4 linked regions of the Mus musculus genome follow. The protein of the gene in region 4 purifies or fractionates together with the protein of the main gene of each other region. This does not show direct contact. Links are inferred from orthologs where the notes say so. Each region holds a gene or a part of one and is shown on either strand. Other genes may lie near its edges.

Region 1 (5,343 bases), on a different chromosome or scaffold from region 4:
CTTTTTGAATGTCAATCTGGCACACGTGTGCTCTCCAACTCCTTACGTGACCTCACCAGCCACCCCAACCTCACTAACTAACTGCAGGAGCACAGACATGCCATTGTGCAAGTGTCTCCATGGGCGGCGGCCAGCCACTCAGGCTCAAGCCCTGCCTTCTCTTGTAGTTATTACTGTTAATGCTTCTTCAAGTCTCAGCTAGAGCACTCTCCTGGTTTCCAGTGTACTTTTAGATTACAAGTTATAGTCATAATATGTAAAACATTATATGCACAACATATATCTAATACAGAACAATAAATCTACTGAAAATCTAGGGAAATATTTACACTGCTAGAAAATAACTTTATACTATAGAAAAGGACTGAGGACTTCCTTAGTAAGACTAGAAAATATGCAAATTGTGGCATACTTACTCAATGGAGGTCTATAAAGCAGTAAAAATGAGCAAGTTAATGGTACTTGTCCCATACAACATGGACAAGTCTGAAAATAAGTTGAGAGAGAAATCCCATACGTGTGTGCTTTATATGAAGTTCAAAACAAACAAAACTAATGTTTTGGTGGTGGTGGTGGTCGGGTTTTTTTTATTTTGGTTTGTTTGTTTGTTTTGCTGGGAGTGGGTGGGGGTGGGGAAGGTTCTAGCCAGGGTTTCTCTGTGTAAAAGCCCTGGCTGTTCTGGAACTCACTCTGTAGACCAGGCTGGCCTCAAACTCAGAGATCCTCCTGCCTCTGCCTCTTATGTGATGGGATTAAAGGCATGTGCCACCACAACTGGCCCCAAAAGAGAGGCCTACAGTATGGAGACTAAGGAAAAAGGACCTCAATTCTGAGACAAATTGGACTTTATAAACATACCCAGGAAGCTGAGTGCAATTCATAAAAGCCTACAGAAACAAATGAACTAAGATTAAAGAAAGCTCCGTTTGCATATAAGGAGGAAATTATGTTGAACATAGACCACACTGCATCAGGCCAGGCCCAGCCACATCACTCAAGCTTGCCAGTCACTACCACAGTTTAAAAGTAAGTCTCCTCCAGACTTAAAATGTCTCATCATCAGGACTCTTCAATGTAGATTTAAACAAGGCGGGTGATTCTAACCTGTCAGAGCTGTCTGTGAAATGAAGAAAACCTAAGACCCCAGCTTCCTCAAGTCCCTTCTCTCCAGTGCTAGTCCTTGAACCTAGAAAGCAGTTTTGCATTTATCATGTCTGATGACAGGCTAGCTCTGTCCTCACTCCCACCCCATCCCCACACGCAGACAACACCTTGTGCTGAAAGCTACAATTAAACCCAAGCATCCACTCAGACAGCTGCTAAATTTCCATGGTTCACCAAAAGAAAAACTTAGGGTTTTCATTAGTTAGAACCAGCACTACTTTTTAAGGTTTTCTTTTATGAATTTTGCCTACATGTATATATGTTTAATACATGTATGCAGCTGCCCATCAGACACCCTGGAACTGAGGATAGTGATGGTTGTGAACCATGATTTTGGTGCTAAGAACTAACCAGGTACCTCTGCAGGAGCAAGAAGCTCTTAACTACTGAGCCACGATAGCACTTTGAGGGGTGGGAGGGTGAAACAGGGTTTCTCTGTATAGCCCTGGCTGTCCTGGAACTAGCTCTATAGATCAGGCTGGCCTCAAAACTTACAGAAACTCTCCTGCCTCTGCCTCTCCAGTGTTGGAATTAAAGGTATGTACCATCACTGCCCCGGGGAAATAGAACTAGTTTTTAAAAAGCATAAACTATCAGAAGCCTACATTGAGTTTCAGCATTTTAAATATCCCATATCTGATATCTGAGCCAGGGAGATGGCTCAGGGTAACAGTGCTTATCACCATGCCTGACAATTGGAGTTCAATCCCACAGACCTACACATAACAGAGAATCAATCCTTTTCTCTTTCTTTCTTTCTTTCTTTTTCTTTTTTTTTTTTTTTCCTACAGACCCAGTATTCCCAGGTAGTCTCCCATCTGAATACTAACCAGGCTTGATCTTGTTCAGTTTCCGAAGCTATGGTCAGAGAATCAAACGCTGAAAGTTGTTCCTTGACTTCCACAGGTGTCAAGGCTCTTACACATCCAAACCCAAACACACACACAAAATAATAAAAATAAAAACCTTTTTTAATTTTCAATGTTTACCTTCCAATTTTCAAGTCTTTTTGCCTCCTAAAAATAGATTTCTTTCATATTTATATATCCACATCTTAGGAAATCCTATACATACAGTCAAGTTATATTCAATTTTGAATGAAGACAATCCTGCCAGTTTTCCTAGATGTCACCAAATGTGTGGGAAATCCCTGCTGGGCCAATACAAATTATAACCACCACCTAAGAGAGCAGAGGGTTATCCCACCCCTTGCAAAATAAAGATAGACAAATATTTCGTAATTTTATTAAAGGCGAATTCTGTCTTTCTCTATAGTACCAAAGACACCACACAAATTTCTTGCGCAAAAGGAACAGCGAAGCAAACAATGTGAGCAAAGATGTTGATAGCTGGTCCAGCAAACCCAGAGAGAGAGGAAAGAGAAACACGCGGCGGCGCTCTGACGCCTAGGAAAACCCAGCTCTCGGGGAAAGGCTTCTCCGACAGCAGCTGCCCAACTGGGCTGCAGGTCCAGGCTGGAGGTGGCTGGCGCTGGCACATTTGAAATATCATAGTCGGTGGATCCAGTCCGGAGCACCACGCGGGACCCGCCCGCGCACACACCCACAGCCCACTGCAGCAAGCGACCTGGGCGCAGCCGCAGCACGCAAGTAACGCTCGACCCGAGCAGAAAGTTTCGAATGAAAAACCCGAGCGCCGAAACGCACCGGTCCCGGAGCTGAACTCACGCCAGGAACAACGCCCGGAGCCAAACCACTTGACAAGCAGCTCGGGTTTTCAGCTGGCTGGCCCAGGCGGGACCGGGAGGTGGCAGAGGCGGCAGCGCACTGGCTCCCGCAGCCCAGGTGTCAGCCGCGCCGCCGCCTCCCTCCCGTGCCCACTATCCGACCCGTGCGGTACAGGCACTGGGGTGCGGATCAGGGATGTGGATAAGGGGCTCAGGATACGGATCAGGGACGCCGATCCGGGGCGCGGGATGAGGATCGGGGACGCGGGGCACGGGGCACGGGGCGCGGGGTCGAGTGCAGAGCCCGGGCGGCTCGCAGGCTGACGGGCCAGGTCGCGGCTCCGGAACCCGCGGCCGCGCGCCCCTCCCCCCACCCCTCCCCCGCCGGGGCACGTAGAGCCGGCGCCGCGTCCCGGGAGACCCACCGCCCGCGGCCCGGGGACCGGGAAGCTCTGCCTGCGCGGCCGCAAGCAACATTCAGCGAGGCGGGGCGGGGTCGGGACCAAGCGCCGCGCGGACTCACTTTTTCGGATGTTTCTCTCTTTTCGGCCTCCGCTTTCGGGCCTGAATGGCCAGCACTGGGGAGAGAGAAGACACATTAACGGTCGGGTTGGCCGCCTGCGTGCCGCGAGGCGGGGCGGGGGCCGCTCGCGCCGCTCACCTTTCCTGGAGCTCATTCCGACTCGGGGCAGCCAGGCGGGGGGCTCCGCGGCGGAGGCGGCGGCGACGCGACAGTCAGCCGCACCGGGATGCAGCCTCCACTCGCTCGCCGGCCGAGGAGGCGGGAACCGCGCCTGCGCCGCCGCGGCCTCTCCCGCGGGGGCCAATGAGACCCGCCCCCGCGGCCCCGCCCCGCAGCCCCGCCCCCTCCGCGCCCCCCTCCGCAGCTCTGGAGCACGGGGGTCCGGACCCCGGCCGCGCCCTTATCACTCGCTCGGCGGCCCACCTGTGCTGAAGGGCGGTTGCGCGCTCACGGTTCCCCGCGCCCACGGCCCCCTCGCCCACGGCCTCCCGCGCCCACGGCCTCCACCTCCTTGCTTTTACGGCCGCCGCAGGCCACCCGTTCCCGGGCACTAGGCCCAGCCGCCGACCCTTCCTCCCAGCCACCGCTCCGCACCCCGGCTGGTCGTGCCGCACGCCTCTCCATGCGCTCTTCCTTGGCCAGCGCCTTGGCGGGTCTCTCGCCACCTCTCTCAGGCGGCCTCCTCTATCCCTTTGCATCTCTACATCCTTGCATCCCTATGAGCGCCGCTTCCTCCTCTCCGGCGGGCGTGGAAAGGGCACAAGACCAAGAGCTGAGGAACCTGGGTCCTTGAGTGTCTGTGTGACCTTGGAGAAGTGATTTTCCTCTCTTTTCCTACTCCATTAGGCTGCGTGAGTTTAACGAAGGAAAGATGCACACAGCTTAAATGGAAAGTTTGTCACAGAAAGCCTAATTTTCTAAATACCATGAGATAAGAGCCTAAAACAGCAATCATGCCAAAAAGTGATTTTTTTTTTCTTCCTCCTATAATGGGGAAACTAAACCCTAAATAGGTCAAACAGTTCTACCAGCCTGTATTTCTATTCAGGCCTGGCTGGTTTCTCTTTCTGCCTTCCCAGGCTACCTGGTTTCTCTTTCTACCTTCCAAGGCTATCTAAGATGCAAATCACGCTGACTGACACGTAGTTACCACTTCAGTGTTCTCTTGTCTCTTTGAACAATTACAGTATCTTAAAGATACTGGTCCTGAACACTCAGTCCTTCATTGGTTACAATTGTATCGTTGAGTTACAACTGTATCACTGAGTCTTACTCTAAAGATGTCCCAACAAACAGGAAAGGCCGCTCCAAGTTTGAAAAGATTTTACTTTCTCCATTTTTTTTTTCAAAAAATCTGAAACATACAAGAAAAATGCAGTAATCGGCACTATTAACCCACATTCACTAGGTTTTTTTTAAACGTTTCTCCACAGTTGCTCTGTGTGTGTGTGTGTGTGTGTGTGTGTGTGTGTGTATGCATATGGTGTATTTTGCTGAGTCATTCAGTAGTTTGCAGACTGTTACCCTCCACCCCAAAAGATTTCAATACATATCTACTAAAAGCAAAGATTTTTTTTTTCTACATAATCAGAACGTTATCACTCTAAGAAAATCCAATAAAATATGTTTGGCGACATTTTTTTTCCAACCCAAGGTCATCCGTTACTGTTAGTGCCCATGTGTTTTTAAGTGTGTTTAGAATAATCCCTGGGTTGGGACTTTTTTTTTTTTTTTCTGATACTTTCCCTGAGTTCCAAGGCAGGCCTTGAATTTACAATGTAGCCAGTCTAAGTACACCTGCGTTGCAGGCCTCTTGCCTTACTTAGCTTCTCAAGTGCATGGAAGACAGGCATGCACCACTAACAGTGACTATTTTGAAGAATCTAGTTCTATTTTGCAGAATGTGCATCAGTTTTAATTTTGTTTGCCTAGTACTACAGTAAGGTTAGTAACTTAAGTGCGATGTATA
Region 2 (5,405 bases), on a different chromosome or scaffold from region 4:
CCTGCCTTTGCACTGCGTTCCACAGGCTTCTGGTCACCCTCCAGGAAATCCAGCTTATCAGAGAAGCCTGTGCAGGGAAGAGCATTCACATCAGCACCACTGTATGTCTAGGAGCATACAGGACATGGCTGCTATTCCCTAACTGCATCTTAAGAAGCACATCTTGTGCCGGGCAGTGATGGTGCACGCCTTTAATCCCAGCACTTGGGAGGCAGAGGCAGGCGGATTTCTGAGTTCGAGGCCAGCCTGGTCTACAGAGTGAGTTCCAGAACAGCCAGGACTACACAGAGAAACCCTGTCTCAGAAAAACAAAACAAACAAACAAACAAACAAACACAAAACAAAACAAAAAAAAAAACGACAAAAAAAAAGAAGCATGTCTTGTTCCCGCACTATTTTCCAAGCATAAGCCCAGTAGATTCAAACCAAGGTAACTGGAAGCACTAGAGAGCTCCCTCGGTTCTAAGGTACTGAGACCCAGGCTCCCTACACTCTTAGCAGACAGCCACACTGACCTTTCTGGTATTTCTTGATGGCATTCATCATGTGTGCTTTCTCCCGCTGCCTCTTCTGCAGGACCTCAGTTTGCACCTGTGAGACAGACACAAAGTCAGCCCTGCATCCCAAACCATCACTCTAGAGACTGCAGCTCAGCCACTGCTACCACACTATGCTGGATACACCCAGGTGTGCCACGGTGGCGAGTGAACCTGTGCTCAGGGACACCAGCAGACACTTTACCAGGAACCCCAGCACAGTCTGCCCTGGCGCACCCGGCCCTGCCCGGCCCACGCAGGTGCTCTTTCTTTCTCACCTTCTTTCCATATTTCCTAAGCGCTCGAAGTTGCTTGGCCTTTTCAGATTTCTCCATGGCGGCCTGTTTAGTCTGCAGCTTCTGTCGAATCTAAAACGCAGAGAGTTGTTAGGCACTATTTGGAGCACACTAGAATGGAGCGCCAGTGTCTGACTAGCTCTGAACGCTGTGGAACTCATTTACTGTCCTAGATTTCCAAATTAAAACAATACGGTCCCAAAGCTGAGCCTGGCACCAAAAGTGTCCATGGGCTGAAGGAGCTTAAACACGACCCTGACTCTCTAAGGCACAAAGCTGCCTACTTATCATACAGGACCTGCTGTTTCTCCACAGATTAAGGCAAAACTGCAGCATTCTAATGGCCCACATCTGTAATAGTTCCTGCACACTCGTACCTCACCTCTTCCATCACACACACACACACACTCACACACACATTGTACTGAAAGTGCTAAGTAGTTATGTGTGTGACTGTCAGATGTAGATGGATCTGTGCTTGTCTCAGGATTGGCCTCTTGAGGTACCACCTGTAATTCTCTAGGCCAAAGACTGAGACCAAAGGAACAATTTTAAATACATCCTGGATGTGACGTCAAGGTTTTTTTCCTCCCAAAGTTAAGTGAAGATCAAATCCCCCAACTCTAAGTCACACCACATCTGAGTTATCCGTCAAGTCTTCCATTTCTAAAAAGCTAAAGGGCCAGAGAGGAAAACCCCATCTAGAAGCAACAGTAATCTCCTTGGCATTGCTGGGCCAGAACTCTAAGACTGTTGTGTCTGTCCACTCCACTCACTCTGACAGGGAAGAAATACGCAAACCCCCAACTCTAAGTCACACCACATCTGAGTTATCCGTCAAGTCTTCCATTTCTAAAAAGCTAAAGGGCCAGAGAGGAAAACCCCATCTAGAAGCAACAGTAATCTCCTTGGCATTGCTGGGCCAGAACTCTAAGACTGTTGTGTCTGTCCACTCCACTCACTCTGACAGGGAAGAAATACGCAAGCTTCTTTTCGTAGGGCCCATACTTCTCCAGACCGTCTCTCTCTAATTTGCCTAGGCGACTGGCATGGCTCTGAAGCAGAGACTGTTGAAATACTGGCTACAAACACCACACATCTTTTTTTTTTTTTGAAGACTACAGGAATGACCCAGCTGAACAAATGAAACCTTGGCTTTCCAGAAGAAAAACCTACCTTTTGCATCTGCTGATCAGACTTGGCCATTTCTGCAAAATAATCGGTGGGCCTCTTCGTAGGGACTTGGAGCTGATGGAGTCGGGGTAATACCGCAAGCACTGCTGCCTGGGCCTGCCGGTAGCTGACATTACAGGACAGGGTGTAATGAGGGGAGGGGAAGGGCGCTCATGTCTTCTTACTGCCTCTCAGAAGTTACCTAACCTCAGAGCTATCACATCCCACCAGCACTGGCAAGATAAGACAGACACACCAACTAAAACTCCACTGATTGCACATATAACTGAAATCTCACTTTATGTTTATTTACGAGGGGAAAATACTTCCAAGAGCAAGTCAGTTTAAAACAACGAGCTTATTAAATACTGCGCAGACTATGAACTGTTTCCCAATCATTACAGAAAGAGCACTCATAACATTCCCTAGGCAAAGTGTGTTCTAATGATTGGAGGCACCCACACAAGCTTCAAATGAATTATTCTGAAACATCCCTCGAGCAGGGTTCTGGTTAAACGGCGACCAAGAACCTATTCTTTCCACCAGAGGAACCCGCTAGATCCACTCGCACGCTCGTGCTAACCCCGCCCAGTGCCTCTGAGGTTGCAGACACACTAAGACCCCCTTCCTGTAACTCCATCGCAGGACCCATAACAAACATACAAACTCATTTCCCTCTGGAAGTCGTCTTCTGGATTAACGCCTTTCTTCTGGTCCTGGTTCTGAGGTGTTGGCTGAGTCTCACTGACTTCTGGCACTGGACCCAGGGTCACATCGAGCCTTTCAACCCACTCCAGATCCCGTCTGAATTCAGCCAAGCACTGTTTCAGGCCACTCTAGGTTAAGTCAGACAAGGCGCTCATGAGAACCGCGAGTTTGACTCTCAGAAACCCAAAGTCCTATGCTCAAATATCCGCACAGGATGACGACCGCAGCGCAGGGTGCATCTTTCCCACCAGAATCGGTCTCCCAAGAGGCACAGCGCTTGTGCGCATCCTGTTCCAAGGACCCCGACCCTCGCACGAGCTCACCACGTCATTCACTGCCTTCTTCGGCTTCTCTAGCACGACATTGAGACCTGGCTTCAGGAGTCCGCGGGAAAACGCATCCTGCAACTACAGACCGGGGAGCCTCAGTACCAAAGAGCTAAATAAAGTCCCCGTCCCAGCCCCTGCCCCGCTAGCTCCGCTGCGGCCTACCTCTTGATCTGAGGCCAGGCACGCATCCGACTCCGAGTCCGACTCTGAAAGCGGAGGGGTGTCCATCTCGCGGCCTTCCGCCCCGCGAGGTTCGGCTGCCACTCCACGTGCCCACAAGCAGCACCACCGCCAACAAATTCTCCACAAGCCTCTGCCTTTTCAACAGGGACTTCCGCTTCCGGGTTCATAGCCGCACTTCCGGTTTTCTCGTTGCTATAGGAACTGCTCTAGCGTTTGGGCGTGCCCGGATTGCTTCGGATCTTTAGGAAGAGCACCTACTGATCCCTACGTAGTCTAGTAACCCAGAGCCGTGAAGCAAGAGGTAAATAGTTTCTTTGGGGTCCTCCTAAGGATCTGAGGGCGGTGGGAGTGCAGGAGAGGAAGGAAAGGCTCGGAAAGAGCCCCGGGGGTGGGGTGGAAAGGAAGAGGAGCCTAGGGGCGGGGCGATGGAGGGGCGAGGCGGGGTCAGGGAGGGGCGGGCCGGGGCCATGGGCGGGGCGGGGCGGGGCAGGAAAGGGAGATGCGCTGCTCGGCTTCACTCCCACCTACTTGCCTCTTTCTTCATCTTTTGCAATACTTTTTGACAGGTACCATGTCCACCGTGGTAGCTCAGGCGCTTCATGTTTTTGGTCTTCGGCCTCACGTGACCAACAATGTCTTCTTCTTCGATGAACAGATCATTATATTTCCTTCAGGAAATCACTGTGTGAAGTACAATATAGATCAGAAATGGCAAAAATTCATTGCAGGTAAAAAAGAAAAAAAGAAACCACCTTTTCCATTCTGACACATACATTAAAGGCATGTGCTACACAAAACCGCACAATCTCAACGATTGGGAAGATTTTTTTTTGATAACTGGGTTATCCACATATTTTTATAAATGTAAACAAAATAAATGGCCATTTACACTACTTAATCATAGATTAACGTGACACAAGTAGCCAAAATGACAGGTAAAATAACACACGTTTTAAAAGTACTTTTCCACAATGACTCCAGAGAAGAGTTACTTTAAACAGTGTTTTTCTTGTATTCTCCTGCAGTTGTGTTTGTCCTCACCAGAACCTTCTTTTGAGTCTAACGGTTTTGAGAGTACATGACCTTCATTGAACCCATGTCTGATGGAGACGCTGAAATTTTTATCTTAAGTGACAAATAACCTTTTAACATTTTTTTTTTTTTTGGTTTTTCGAGACAGAGTTTCTCTGTGTAGCCCTGACTGTCCTGGAACTCACTCTGTAGACCAGGCTGGCCTCGAACTCAGAAATCTGCCTGCCTCTGCCTCCCAAGTGCTGGGATTAAAGGTGTATGCCACCACTGCCCGGATTATTTACTTATTTTAAAGAGTTATGTATACAGTTTTCTGCCTGAATGTATACCTGCAGGCCAGAAGAGGGTACCAGATCTCATTACAGATGGTTGTGAGCCACCATGTGGTTGCTGGGAATTGAACTCAGGACCTCTGGAAGAACAGCCAGTGCTCTTAACCTCTGAGCCATCTCTCCAGCCCCTGGAATATCCCTAGTTTTATGTTAATAGTTTTACCAATTTTTCAGTTACTTTTGTAAGATTTTGTTCTAAGGGGTATCTCTCTTATTTAGTTATAGACATATTTTACATATCCTGTATTCTAATAATTTGTCAGGTATATATGTTAGAAATAATTAGCTAAGCAGTGATGCCTTTAATCCCAGCACTGGAGAGACAGGGACAGATAGATCTCTTAGTTCAAGGCCAACCTGTTCTGCAGAGTTCCAGGACAGCTAGGGCTACACAGAGAAACCCTGTCACAAAAAAACAAAAGCAAAACAAAAAGTAAGAAAGAAATATTTCTTTCTGAAGCCTGTGCTTTTTTTCTTCCTTGTGGTATCTGTGAATGAACAATAATTCTTAGTTTTTGCCGGGCATGGTGGTGCACGCCTTTAATCCCAGCACTCAGGAGGCAGAGGCAGAGGCAGGCGGATTTCTGAGTTCGGAGCCAGCCTTGTCTACAAAGTGAGTTCCAGGACAGCCAGAGCTATACAGAGAAACCCTGTCTCAGAAAAAAAAAAAAAAGGAAAATAATTCTTAGTTTTAAAGAAGTAAAAGTCATCAAACACCATGTAAATATTCTGCAAGAATAAACTGTATTAACTGGGGACATGGCTAAGCAGGTAAAGCACTTTCCAGGCATGTCTGAGGACCTAAATTTGAACATG
Region 3 (5,317 bases), on a different chromosome or scaffold from region 4:
GGTGGTCACAAAGCGACAATTTCCATCCCCTGACTTAAACCCCGGTAAAAGCAAATTCACAAAAAATGATTCCTGTGGTTTTAGGGGCTCTATTAGAGAAACCTTACATAAACCAAACTTAAGTTCATTAACCCCAGGGTTAGCAGTCGCAAAATAAACACGATCTACTTGTCTGTGTAGTCTGAGGACGAGAAGCAACTACCTTAGTTAAATGAACACTTAGAACACTGATTCTGCTCTTGAGATTGATATAAATTTCAATCCTTGCTGCCCGATTTTCCCGAGGGAAGCCCTGTAAGCAACGTGTGGCTGTGCCCTGTAAGCACATCCAGCCCTCGGCCTGTCGGGTGAGCTCCCAGCTAGAACCTTCTAACAAAGGTGAGCCAACTCCAAGTATGAAGTCTCAGTGCTGTTCCGCAAGGCGCTCCACCACCTTGTCTGTGCACAGGCCGAGGCCGGAGCGCGCACAGTACCTTCTACTCTCTCAAGACAGGACTTTCTCTTGAGCTGGTCGCTTGCTCTTTTGGCTTAACTGGCTGGCAACAAGTTCTACAATCAGTGGCTCCAGCTTCCAATATTGGGGTCACACCTGGCCTTTCACTTGGTGCTTGAAGAAGGGGTGTGTGTGCACGTGTTCCACTTCATGTTTATGGCACAAGCGCTCGGACCTCTGGGCATTTCCCAGGGTGTCTCTGTCATTGGCCTGGAGCTGAGCTCGGCTGGCTGGTTAGCAAGCCTTACGTTCCCAGCACTGAGATCACATGCGCATATGACCGTTCCTGGCTTCTGTAGGTTGACAGTTATAGACTGAGCTATCTCCACAGCCTCATGATTTCCCGCTTTTTATTGAGATAGAAATCCACACTATGAAACCGTGACTGGCCTCAAACTCTGCCTGTCCCTGTCTCCTGAGTGCTGGGACTAAAGGCAGGCCACTACACCAAGCTTACTTTCTTGTGATTCCACTGCAATTTGTAAAATCACTTTACTTATATTTACTTTATTTAGAGACAAGCTCTCTCTATGTAGCTGTGGGTATCTCCGAACTCATGATGTAAACTAGGCTGGCTTTAAACCGATTCACCTGCCTCTGCTTCCTGAGTGCTGGATTTAAGGGGGGTGCCACCATGCCTGGCTTGTGAAAAGTTCCCGAGCAGGAACTTTGTAGGTAACAACGCTGTGCCTATGAATACAAAGGATGACATACAATTGACAAGCAAAATATACATAGTTGAATTCAGGAACAGAATCTTACCCGCTTACTTCTAGACAATCTGAATCTGCTAATGTCGCCAAACTGGGCACAGTAGTTATAGATGTGGCTTTCAGAAAGTGTTGAAGGTAGGTGGCCCAGATAAACTACTCCACGGTTAAGTTTTTCTTTCTTCTTTTGCTGAGGCTAAAACAGATAAACATTTTAAAAATACAAACTCATACTACACCAAAACGTTTGTGCGTATACACATTTTTCTGAGCCGGATCTCACTATGGAGCCTTGGCTGGCCCAAAACTCACTACGTAGACCTGGCTGGCCTCTAACTGCTGAATGCTAAGATTAAAGTCCTATATCACCATGCCCTGCAAAGGTCTTTATTTTTCAACGAAAGTATGTTACCATTCCATAACCTCAGAGTAAATTAATTCTAATGTCTTTTTCTTTTTTTTGAGACAGAGTTTCTTTGGGTAGCCCCAGCTGTCCTGGAGCTAGCTTTGTAGACCAGGCTAGGCTCAAACTCACACAGATCCACCTGCCCCTGCTTCCTGAGTGCTAAGATTAAAGGTGTGTGTCCCCGCCACCCAGCTTCCTAAAGTCCTTTCAGAGGCTAGGTGGAGATCTGCCTGCCTCTGCCTCTCCAACACTAGGATTGAAGGTAAAAGTCACCTTGCCTGGCCTGCAACAAATTTTCAACACCATTCTTTCCCCTTGGTCCAGGAACAAACTCATAACTCTATCAGGGCAGAAACTGAAAAACTCCGTGTTTGGTATCTCTCTTCCCTTAAGCACTTGCTGAGCAAGGCTGAGGCCTGAGTTCAATCACACAGAGCCACAGACTCTGCAAGAGACAGACTCCCACACACGCACGCACCATGATGCACACCAAGGCACACATATGTCCACACCCACCTGTCCCTACAAAACAGTCAGCACAACATGTGTTCAAGAGCTAAATGGACAAGCAAGTAACAGTCTGTCATGTTCAGAGTAACACTGTGAAACCAAGACCTTCAACTCCGAATGCAGTTGGCAGTTTATTACACCGAATCTTAACTGTTTCCGGTTGTTAACCTTCATGGTGCAGACTCTCCTTCTCTATCACCATACTATGACCCCAGAGAACAAGAACTTGTTTCCTGTCAGGTAGGGTACCGGGTGACCTATAGTGTATTCATGAAGTGGATATAGGGGGTTCAAGACCTCGACTGCACAGCAAATGTGAGGTGAGCTTGGGCTACAATAAACCCTATACTGACACTGTAACAAAAGCGACCCTCCCAAAAGACCCCCAGGACAACAACAATAAAAAAAGAAAAGCTGTCGTTCTCTCCAATGCACTCCATGGTGCAAACCAAAGGGACTATAAACTTCCGTTAGGGACATTGCATACAAACTGAACTCGACAGGTTGACAGGTTGAAGCCCTATTCTGAATTCTGACCCTGAGCTGTATTCTGACTCTCGATCCTCCCAGGACGTGGGCTTCGGGACGTCTACTCCGTCTTCTAAGCACTACAAACTAAGGGGACATAACACACCTTCCGAATGCTGCGGTAGACCATGAACCCTCATTTTGCAGGTCAAAGCGGAAGCGTGGCAGCTTTAACACATTCTGAGATCTGGGGGTGCCATGCTCCCACACGTGGTACCCCTCCTCCTTCACCTCACACCGATTCCTGACCTGCCTCGGTCCCCTGATTGGAACCATCGTCTCCCAGCCCGTGAGAGGTTGGCTCCCGAGCCAGCCCGGCCGCCCCGCGCCGCTCACCTTCTTCGTGCGCCCTTGGATCTGCGTCAGAGCCTTCTCAAACTGCGAGTCTTCCTGCGGGTTCAATGCCAGACTCGGCTTCGCGGGGCCTGCTAACCCAGCCATGCTGGAGAACCCGAACAAGTCAATCCACGCGGAGCCTTCGGAAGTGACGTTTCCTTCGCGTCTCGGAAGCGGAAGTAGAGGCGGAAGTGTAGCAAAAGAGCAGGCCCCGGTGTCTAGAATTGAGGCAGCTCGAGCGCCACCTACTGGCCACAAACTAAAAACATTTAAAATCGGATTAAGGCTCCGTTGGTGAAGCGCTTGTTCTCAGTCCTAGGTTTGAAACCCAGTGCCTCATAAAATGTGACTGGAGCCACGCCCCCTGCCCCCATCTGTAATCCCAACACTTGGGAGGTAGAGGCAGGAGGATCAGGAGTTCAGCGCCATTCTCATAAACATAGTTCGAAGACAGCCTGGGCTCCATGGACTCAAAAACAAATTTAAAGTCTCAAACATTAGCCATGCCCGTTGCCTGTTCATGCCAACGTGCAACAGGAAAAGCCTTCCCCTCTGTGGGCTCCTTTTGTAAACTTTGTAAACGCTCAAGCAGGAAAGTGGCCAGGCCCCTGCCTGAGGAGATCCAGTGGCCAACCTCCCCAGTCCCCCCACCCCCGCATGTTTTCCAACGTCCCTAATGGTTTTCTAACCATCCAAAAGTGGGAGAGTGGCCAGACCCTGCCCTACAAGAAAAAAATTCCACCAGTCCCCGAGGTCTCTCAAGTTCAGGACTTGAAATTCCACCAGTCCTCATCATGGAAGTCTCCACAGCATAATCCAACACCTATTTATATTTTTGATATTATACACCTGTGTCTGTGAGTGGGTATGTGTTCAGGAATTCAGATGACCATAGAGAATAATGGTGTCGGATCTCCTGAACTTGGAGTTCAGGCTGTTGAGAGATGTCCAATGTACTGGGAACTGAACTCAAGTCCTCTGGAAGAGCAGAAAATACTTTTAACTGTGAGCTATTTGTCTAGTCCCCATTTATTTTATTTTTATGCGATGAGTGTTTTGCCTGTATATGTACCCTATATGTGCAGTGCCTGCAGTGGCCAGAAGAGGGCATCAGAACACTGGAACTGGAATTAAGGACTGTGAGCTCTTGACCACAGAGCCATCTCTTGAGTTCCCTAGTAAGTTTCTTTAGGTAACACAATAGGAATTTTGAGAAAACAAAAGGAGAAGCTTGTAAGAGTTTCTTATGTTGAAACAGTTGTCTTTTCTCCATTTGTTTATTTACTTATAGATTAATTGATTGACAGGTTGATTGATTTTGTGTGTAGTGTATGCCTGTCAGTGAGTATGGGTGTGTGCACCCTTGTGCTGCATCGCATGTGTCTAGGTCAAAGGACTACTTGCTGTAGTTCTTTCCTTCCACGGTATGGGTTTTGGGGACTCAGGCTTAGTGGCAAGTGCCTTTACTTGTTGAGCCACCTTACTGACCCGGTCTGAAGATTATTTTAAGCAAAATATTTTTGAGACTCAGTGGATAAAAAAAGAAGCCCTTTATCTAAGAGAGCAACTTCTGGGGAGATGGGGCTTCCTTAAGCCCCTTTGGGGAATGTTATGACATAAGGAACACTGGAAGAGGGGCTGGAGGTGCAGGCTCAGCACAGAGCTTACCTGCCTTTTATGAAGCTCTGGCTTCTACTTCCAACTCTGAGTAAACCAACATCTAGGCAGCCAGCGATACATGAGACCCTCCCTGTCCCTACAAAAGGAGGAAGGCAATCAATGGCAAGATGGGTCTGAGGGTAAAGGCTATGGAGGTTAGGCTGAAGGCCTGAACTGGACCATAGAACCCAAATGGTAGAAGGTGAGGACCAACTCCAGCAGGCTGTCCTCTGGGGATGTCCTAGTTTTCTTTCTGTTGCTATGATAAGACAAACCAAAACCAACCTGGGGGAGAAGCAAGATTTTGTTCCTTATAGGTTAAAATCCATCATCGAGAGAAACCAAGGCAAGAACTGAAGTAGAAACCATGCAGGACCACTGCTTATTGGCTTGTTCCCAGGCTCACACTCAACCACTTTTCTTATATAACTCAGGCCATCTGTCAAAGGATGTTGGCATCCACGGTGGACTGAGCTCTCCTACGTCAGCCACCAATCAAGAAAATGCCCCAAAAGACACATCCCCAGGCCAATCTGATGGAGGCAACTCCTTAATTGAAGCTCCCTCTTCCTGAGTGTATCAGTTACCTTCCTGTGGCTGTGATAAAACACCTTGATCAATGGAAATTATGGGGAAAGGAGTTTACTTTGGTATATAGCTCCGGAGGAAGAGTCC
Region 4 (5,197 bases):
CACGCAAGCACACGAAGTACATATATATAAATCTAAAGCTGACAGTGCGTTCCAGCTTGGGAGTGCTGAGACAGGAGCACCAGAACCCTCTACTCCACTCAGACTGTCCTTGTCTCTGGAGGAGCCTGGACAATTTGGAAAGAAGCTAAAAAGCAAGTTAGACATGGTGGCACAAACCCAGATGCCAGCACTTGAGAGGCCAAGGCAGGAGCAGTACACATACCAGGCCAGTCTGGGAACTAAAAGGCTAAGATTCAATCAGGCAGTGACACATTACCTGTAATCACAACACTCAGGAGCCAAAGTAGGAGAGTTGTAAATTAGAGGCCAGCCTGGGCTAAGTAGAGTTCAGGCCAACAAAGATCGAACAAGCTAGGCGTGGTGACACATACCCTTAGCCCCGGCATCAGGAGGCAGAGGCAAGAAGAGCTGATTTCAAGGACAGCCAGGGCTACACAGTAGGACAATACCTCAAATAAACAGAAAGATCTACTTGAGAATACCCAGAAGAGACTCACCTTTTCCTCCTCATCCTCCGAGTTAGAGGCAGCTCCATAGTCATCCACCATATCTTCATCACTGTCCTCAGAGCCCCAAAGGTCCCCCTGGGTCACCACATCGTCTTCCCCCGAGTCTTCCTCCTCGTCCCCATCACTGTTTTGAATTGGTGCTGGGCGCTTCTTACCTCGAGCCTGGACTGCTCCTGAGAAGAGTGAGGGTTTGCCAAACCCTGGATGGACGGCAACCACACCCTGCCTCACACCCCTGGAGCCTGTACTTTCTAGCCCTAAGCATGGTCTCTGAGGGCTGGAGAGATGGCTTTACTTAACAGTTAAAAGCACAGACCCCAGAACCCACATATGACAATTCACAAGTACCTATATCTCCAACTCTCAGTCGATTCAGCATCCCACTCACGAGCACACAACCACATTCGGACACACACAAGAAAGAGTAAAAATAGGGCCGGAGAGAAGACTCAATGGATAAGAGCAGGCGTTGCCCTGGCACTCGAATGGTGGGGATTCACAACCATTTGTAATTCCAGTTCCAGGGGATCCGATGCCTTCTTTTGACCTCCACAGAACCAGGCACCCACATGACACTCACTCATATATGCAGGCAATACACTCATATATATAAAATAAACTGAGTTGTGATTTTTCAAAAGTAAGGCAGAAACAGTTGGATCTCTGTGAGTTCATGGCCAGCCTAGTCTACAAAGTGAGTTAAAGGATACTCAAGGCTACACAGAGAAAATCTGTCTCTTACCACGGCCTGAGCTATCTCCAGCATCTTAAAGAAACAAACAAACAAAAAAAAAAATATATATATATGTACATATATATATATTTTGCTTTGCCGTTCCTTCCATTCTAGAAACAATTAGCCCTATCCAGGTCCCAGAGGATTCTTCACAGAGCAACCAACTCCTATAGTCACTAACCTTTGGATAACTCTCCAGGCAATGTTTTGATCCCAGGAGACTTATTTGGCTTAGGGACGTCAACAGACCCTGCCCTCCTCTTGGCTGCCCTGAAAGAATACAGAAAGTGAAGACAAGGGAACATACCTCCGGGTTCTGCCACCTCCCACCACAAGGAAACAAGACAATGCACAACCAGCCCTCTTCACCCATGGATCCAGCAGCTACAATCTCACTAAACCAGCGGATTCACACTCACCGCTTTCGGGCACGACTCGACAGCCTCTTGGAATTCTCATCGCCAGCTGTTAATTTAAAAAAGGGATAGATTAGGAATTTATAGGAAATACAAACTGGGGGCAGGCATGTAATTAGGAAGAGAGAGAATCACCACGTTAACGAAGAAAAGTGTGGCAGTGGTAGAGCGAGTTTGTTTGTTATGTACAAGTCCTCATATTCACCCACGGCAGCAGGAAAGACTAAGGCTATAAACTACAGTCCATGGGAGTCACTCCATACAAGTCATCCAGGAGTTACAGGAGATGTGAAAGACAGGCCAATAGTACAGCCTGTGCGGAGTATGGGGAAAGCCCAAGGCTCCATTCCCATCACTTCCAGAAAACTTAAAAAGACCAAAAGAAGCCAGGTGTGGTGGTGAACGCCTTTAATCCCAGCACTCGGGAGGCAGAGGCAGGCAGATTTCTGAGTTTGAGGCCAGCCTGGTCTACAGAGTGAGTTCCAGGACAGCCAGGGCTATACAGAGAAATCCTGTCTCGAAACCCCCACCCCCACCCCACCCCACCCCAAAAAAGACCAAAAGATGTAGAGGAGAGGAAGCAGCCATCAGACTGTTCAGCAAGGAAACTCAAACAGTGACATTCTGATAACAATGTAACCTCAAACCCCTTTTCTGCCCTTCCCTTATTCTCAGCTTATTCAGTTATCAACTAAATTAGAACTTAATTTTGCTATTTTTGGTTTTACAATCTACAAGAAATGTCCCTTTTCACTTACTGTGTGTTAAGACACCTCTAACCTAACAAATAACAAAGCCTCTCTCCCAGGACTCTAAAATTCGATGAAGTGAGACCATGTGTCCATACAGTTGAGGATCTCCTTCATGGGCCTGTGGCTTGCCAATATTTCAACAAACTGCATCTTCCATCATCCTTCACCACAGAGGGCTCAGATCCGTGCTTTCATTCCATCTCTTCCGGACAATTCGTGACCGGTCTGTTCCGTTTCCAACTCTTGCTTACCAAAACTAAGCTTAATAACATCTTTCCAAATTCTTCATGAGAACTCCCTTCCTGGAAACGGAAGATCGCACCGCTCCTCGCACGAGTACCATGCCCCAGTGGCAGCTTCCCACCCTTCTCTAACCCAAACTATTTATCTCCTAACAGCTCACATCTATGCAGCAGGTAAAGGCGAACACGCAAACGAGAAGTTATGGCACAAAATGGGGCAAAGGCTGGCCGGGATCAGGGAGCTACGACCCTCACCTGCAGGCAAAAATCTGACCAATTCGGTCTCCGCACCCTTCTGTTTTCGGGCCTTTCGGCCGGGTCCACGCTTCTCCTTCTTCGTAGGATCCAACTTGCGCCCCATGATAACTAAAGCAAAGACAAACGAGGCAAAGCGACGTTGTGGATGCTGAAATGGGAACGCAGGCCGTAGGCTTAAGGATATTACCAGGGATGGGTACCGCCCGGCCCAGGACCACTACTCAGGACCCCGATGGCCCCCTCCAGGATCTCCCACAGGACCTCGTCACCACGCCCCTCTCGGAACCTTGCTCCGCGATCCTGCAGACGCACCTGAAGGCTCGGCTCGCCTAGACCTGGTTCCGGCTGACCCGGCACCTCCAGTCAAGGCCCGCTCCACGTGCACTGGGGGGAAGAACTCAGAGGTCGCACACCGCGAAAGTGAATCGCGCAAGCGCAAAAAGGGTCGTCACAACGCCCCGCCTCTTCCGGCCGCGGCACCGGAACACACGTGATCCAGGGACACGCCCCTCACCCGCGGTTCAGAGAGGGAAACGCGCGGCGCTGCGGTCAGCGTTTCTCTGCCCTCGGTTCGGAAGGTGGCTTCCGCCCGCTACTCCCGAGGCCGCACGCTCCTTCCACCTAGCACCGCAACTTGGCCCTCCCGCTGGCACCCTAATTGCCTTAGCCCGCAAGATCGCGGGGTCCCACGCCCCTCGCCCTCCTGTTCCCAAAGTTTTGTATTAGAGCCGCTTTCCTTAGAGGTAACCCTCCCCTCCGGACCCTTTCACATAGGAACACGCACTCGGCCGGCCTTCCTTCCAAGCAGGGAGACCGCTTAGCGGATAAACGCGCTTGTCTCCGAGCCTGCAGAACTGAGTCTTTGAGTCCAGGACCCACCCATCTAGTGGCATCGGGCACAAACTCCTACAAGCTGCTCTTTGACCTCCACGTGCACAGTGATGCTATGTACAAATTATATAAGAGAGTGGTAGTTCTCTATAATCTCAGCCCTCTGCAAGAAGCAGGTGAATCTCTTTAACTTGAGGGCAGCCTGGAATTCCTGGACCCAGGATTACACAAAGAAACCCTGTCTCAAAGAAAACCAGTAATAAGGGGCTGGAGAGATGGCTCAGCAGTCAAGAGCACTGACTGCTCTTCTAAGGGTCCCGAGTTCAAATCCCAGCAACCACATGGTGGCTCACAACCATCTGCAATGAGATCTGATGCACTCTTCTGGTGTGTCTGAAGTGTACTCATATATAATAATAAATAAATCTTCAAACAAAAAAAAAGTGATAACAATAAACCAAGGAAAAAATTTTAGGGTACGGTAACATCCTTAATTCCCCCACTTGAGAGGCAGGGGCAGGCAGTAGTTACTTAGACCCTCAAAAAATTTATACTTAAGGTAACACATCCTTAATTCCCCCACTTGAGAGGCAGGGGCAGGCAGTTGTTACTTAGACCCTCAAAAAATTTATACTTCTATAATTACATATTCACGCATATGTATTCCATGGTAGAACACTTGCCCAATGTCTTCACAACTGTACCAGGCAAGTGGCTACTTCCTGCAGGAGTGCTCTGCGAACAGTTTGCTAAAGATCAGAGCCTATAAACAATGGTCCAGAAGCCTCTTGTTCGCCAGAATGTCACCCTGTCAGGAGCACAGGCAGTCTTCCAGGATAAGCCAGTTCCTGGGGTACCTGGAACCCACACTCACCCACACAGAACCAGATCACTAAAATACAAGGAAACTTTTATTTTCAGTTCTCATCAAGAAATTTGCTGTGGTTTTTTATGCTTTTGGTTCTTTTTCTTTTTTTTTTTTTTTCCAACTTTATTTAGCTGCTCAGTGGCTGGAGCCGCTGGGTTCCTGGTATTAAAAAGATGCCAACAGAGGTAGCTGTGTCTCGCCCAGGGGCCCGGCCCACTCTGAATACCCCCCAAAAAGGAGAAAACACAAAGTAAACCAACAAAATAAAACCAAAAAGAGGAAGAAATTCAGATCATTTTCTTCGAGCCTGGCAGAATCCACAACAGTTTGTAACAGGCGCACGGTGGGGAGAAGCCAGGGTCCAGAAGGCAGCCAGCCCGCCAGCTCCTGCACATGGCGGGCGGGCGCTGCGCTACTGCTGCTTGTCTCTCCAGCAGGAAGGGCACCATTGCTTCTCCCTCCCTCCCTGCCCCACTGCGCAGGGCTGTTCCTTTACAACTCAGAAGATGGGCAGAAGGAAGGCAAGGGTCTCTCTGGCCCCCAGGGGCAGCCGGGACAAGAGAA

Evidence for each region.
Region 1: the proteins of Nop2 (region 4) and Srpk2 purify together in Homo sapiens (affinity purification with mass spectrometry; 3 studies listed by BioGRID and IntAct, with this or other methods). This does not show direct contact. The link is inferred for Mus musculus from reciprocal best matches to the Homo sapiens genes NOP2 and SRPK2.
Region 2: the proteins of Nop2 (region 4) and Ebna1bp2 fractionate together in Homo sapiens (co-fractionation; 3 studies listed by BioGRID and IntAct, with this or other methods). This does not show direct contact. The link is inferred for Mus musculus from reciprocal best matches to the Homo sapiens genes NOP2 and EBNA1BP2.
Region 3: the proteins of Nop2 (region 4) and Nifk fractionate together in Homo sapiens (co-fractionation; 3 studies listed by BioGRID, with this or other methods). This does not show direct contact. The link is inferred for Mus musculus from reciprocal best matches to the Homo sapiens genes NOP2 and NIFK.

The regions. Positions count from the first base shown.
Region 1 is NC_000071.6:23,672,346-23,677,688, forward strand, and holds the start of Srpk2 (SRSF protein kinase 2), read right to left. Parts: upstream 3,623-5,343; 5' UTR 3,529-3,622; coding exon 3,513-3,528; intron 3,430-3,512; coding exon 3,375-3,429; intron 1-3,374. UniProt on the Homo sapiens protein: Serine/arginine-rich protein-specific kinase which specifically phosphorylates its substrates at serine residues located in regions rich in arginine/serine dipeptides, known as RS domains and is involved in the phosphorylation of SR splicing factors and the regulation of splicing.
Region 2 is NC_000070.6:118,618,797-118,624,201, reverse strand, and holds the start of Ebna1bp2 (probable rRNA-processing protein EBP2), read right to left. Parts: upstream 3,404-5,405; 5' UTR 3,271-3,403; coding exon 3,205-3,270; intron 3,121-3,204; coding exon 3,037-3,120; intron 2,842-3,036; coding exon 2,669-2,841; intron 2,133-2,668; coding exon 2,009-2,132; intron 905-2,008; coding exon 815-904; intron 592-814; coding exon 516-591; intron 68-515; coding exon 1-67. Other genes in the region: Cfap57 (cilia- and flagella-associated protein 57), read left to right, coding at 3,797-3,953. UniProt on the Homo sapiens protein: Required for the processing of the 27S pre-rRNA.
Region 3 is NC_000067.6:118,319,664-118,324,980, reverse strand, and holds the start of Nifk (MKI67 FHA domain-interacting nucleolar phosphoprotein), read right to left. Parts: upstream 3,139-5,317; 5' UTR 3,089-3,138; coding exon 2,984-3,088; intron 1,400-2,983; coding exon 1,256-1,399; intron 1-1,255.
Region 4 is NC_000072.6:125,130,053-125,135,249, reverse strand, and holds the start of Nop2 (probable 28S rRNA (cytosine-C(5))-methyltransferase), read right to left. Parts: upstream 3,368-5,197; 5' UTR 3,247-3,367; exon of another isoform or gene 3,221-3,246; intron 3,043-3,220; 5' UTR 3,038-3,042; coding exon 2,932-3,037; intron 1,732-2,931; coding exon 1,686-1,731; intron 1,537-1,685; coding exon 1,448-1,536; intron 704-1,447; coding exon 519-703; intron 1-518. UniProt on the Homo sapiens protein: S-adenosyl-L-methionine-dependent methyltransferase that specifically methylates the C(5) position of cytosine 4447 in 28S rRNA. Required for efficient rRNA processing and 60S ribosomal subunit biogenesis.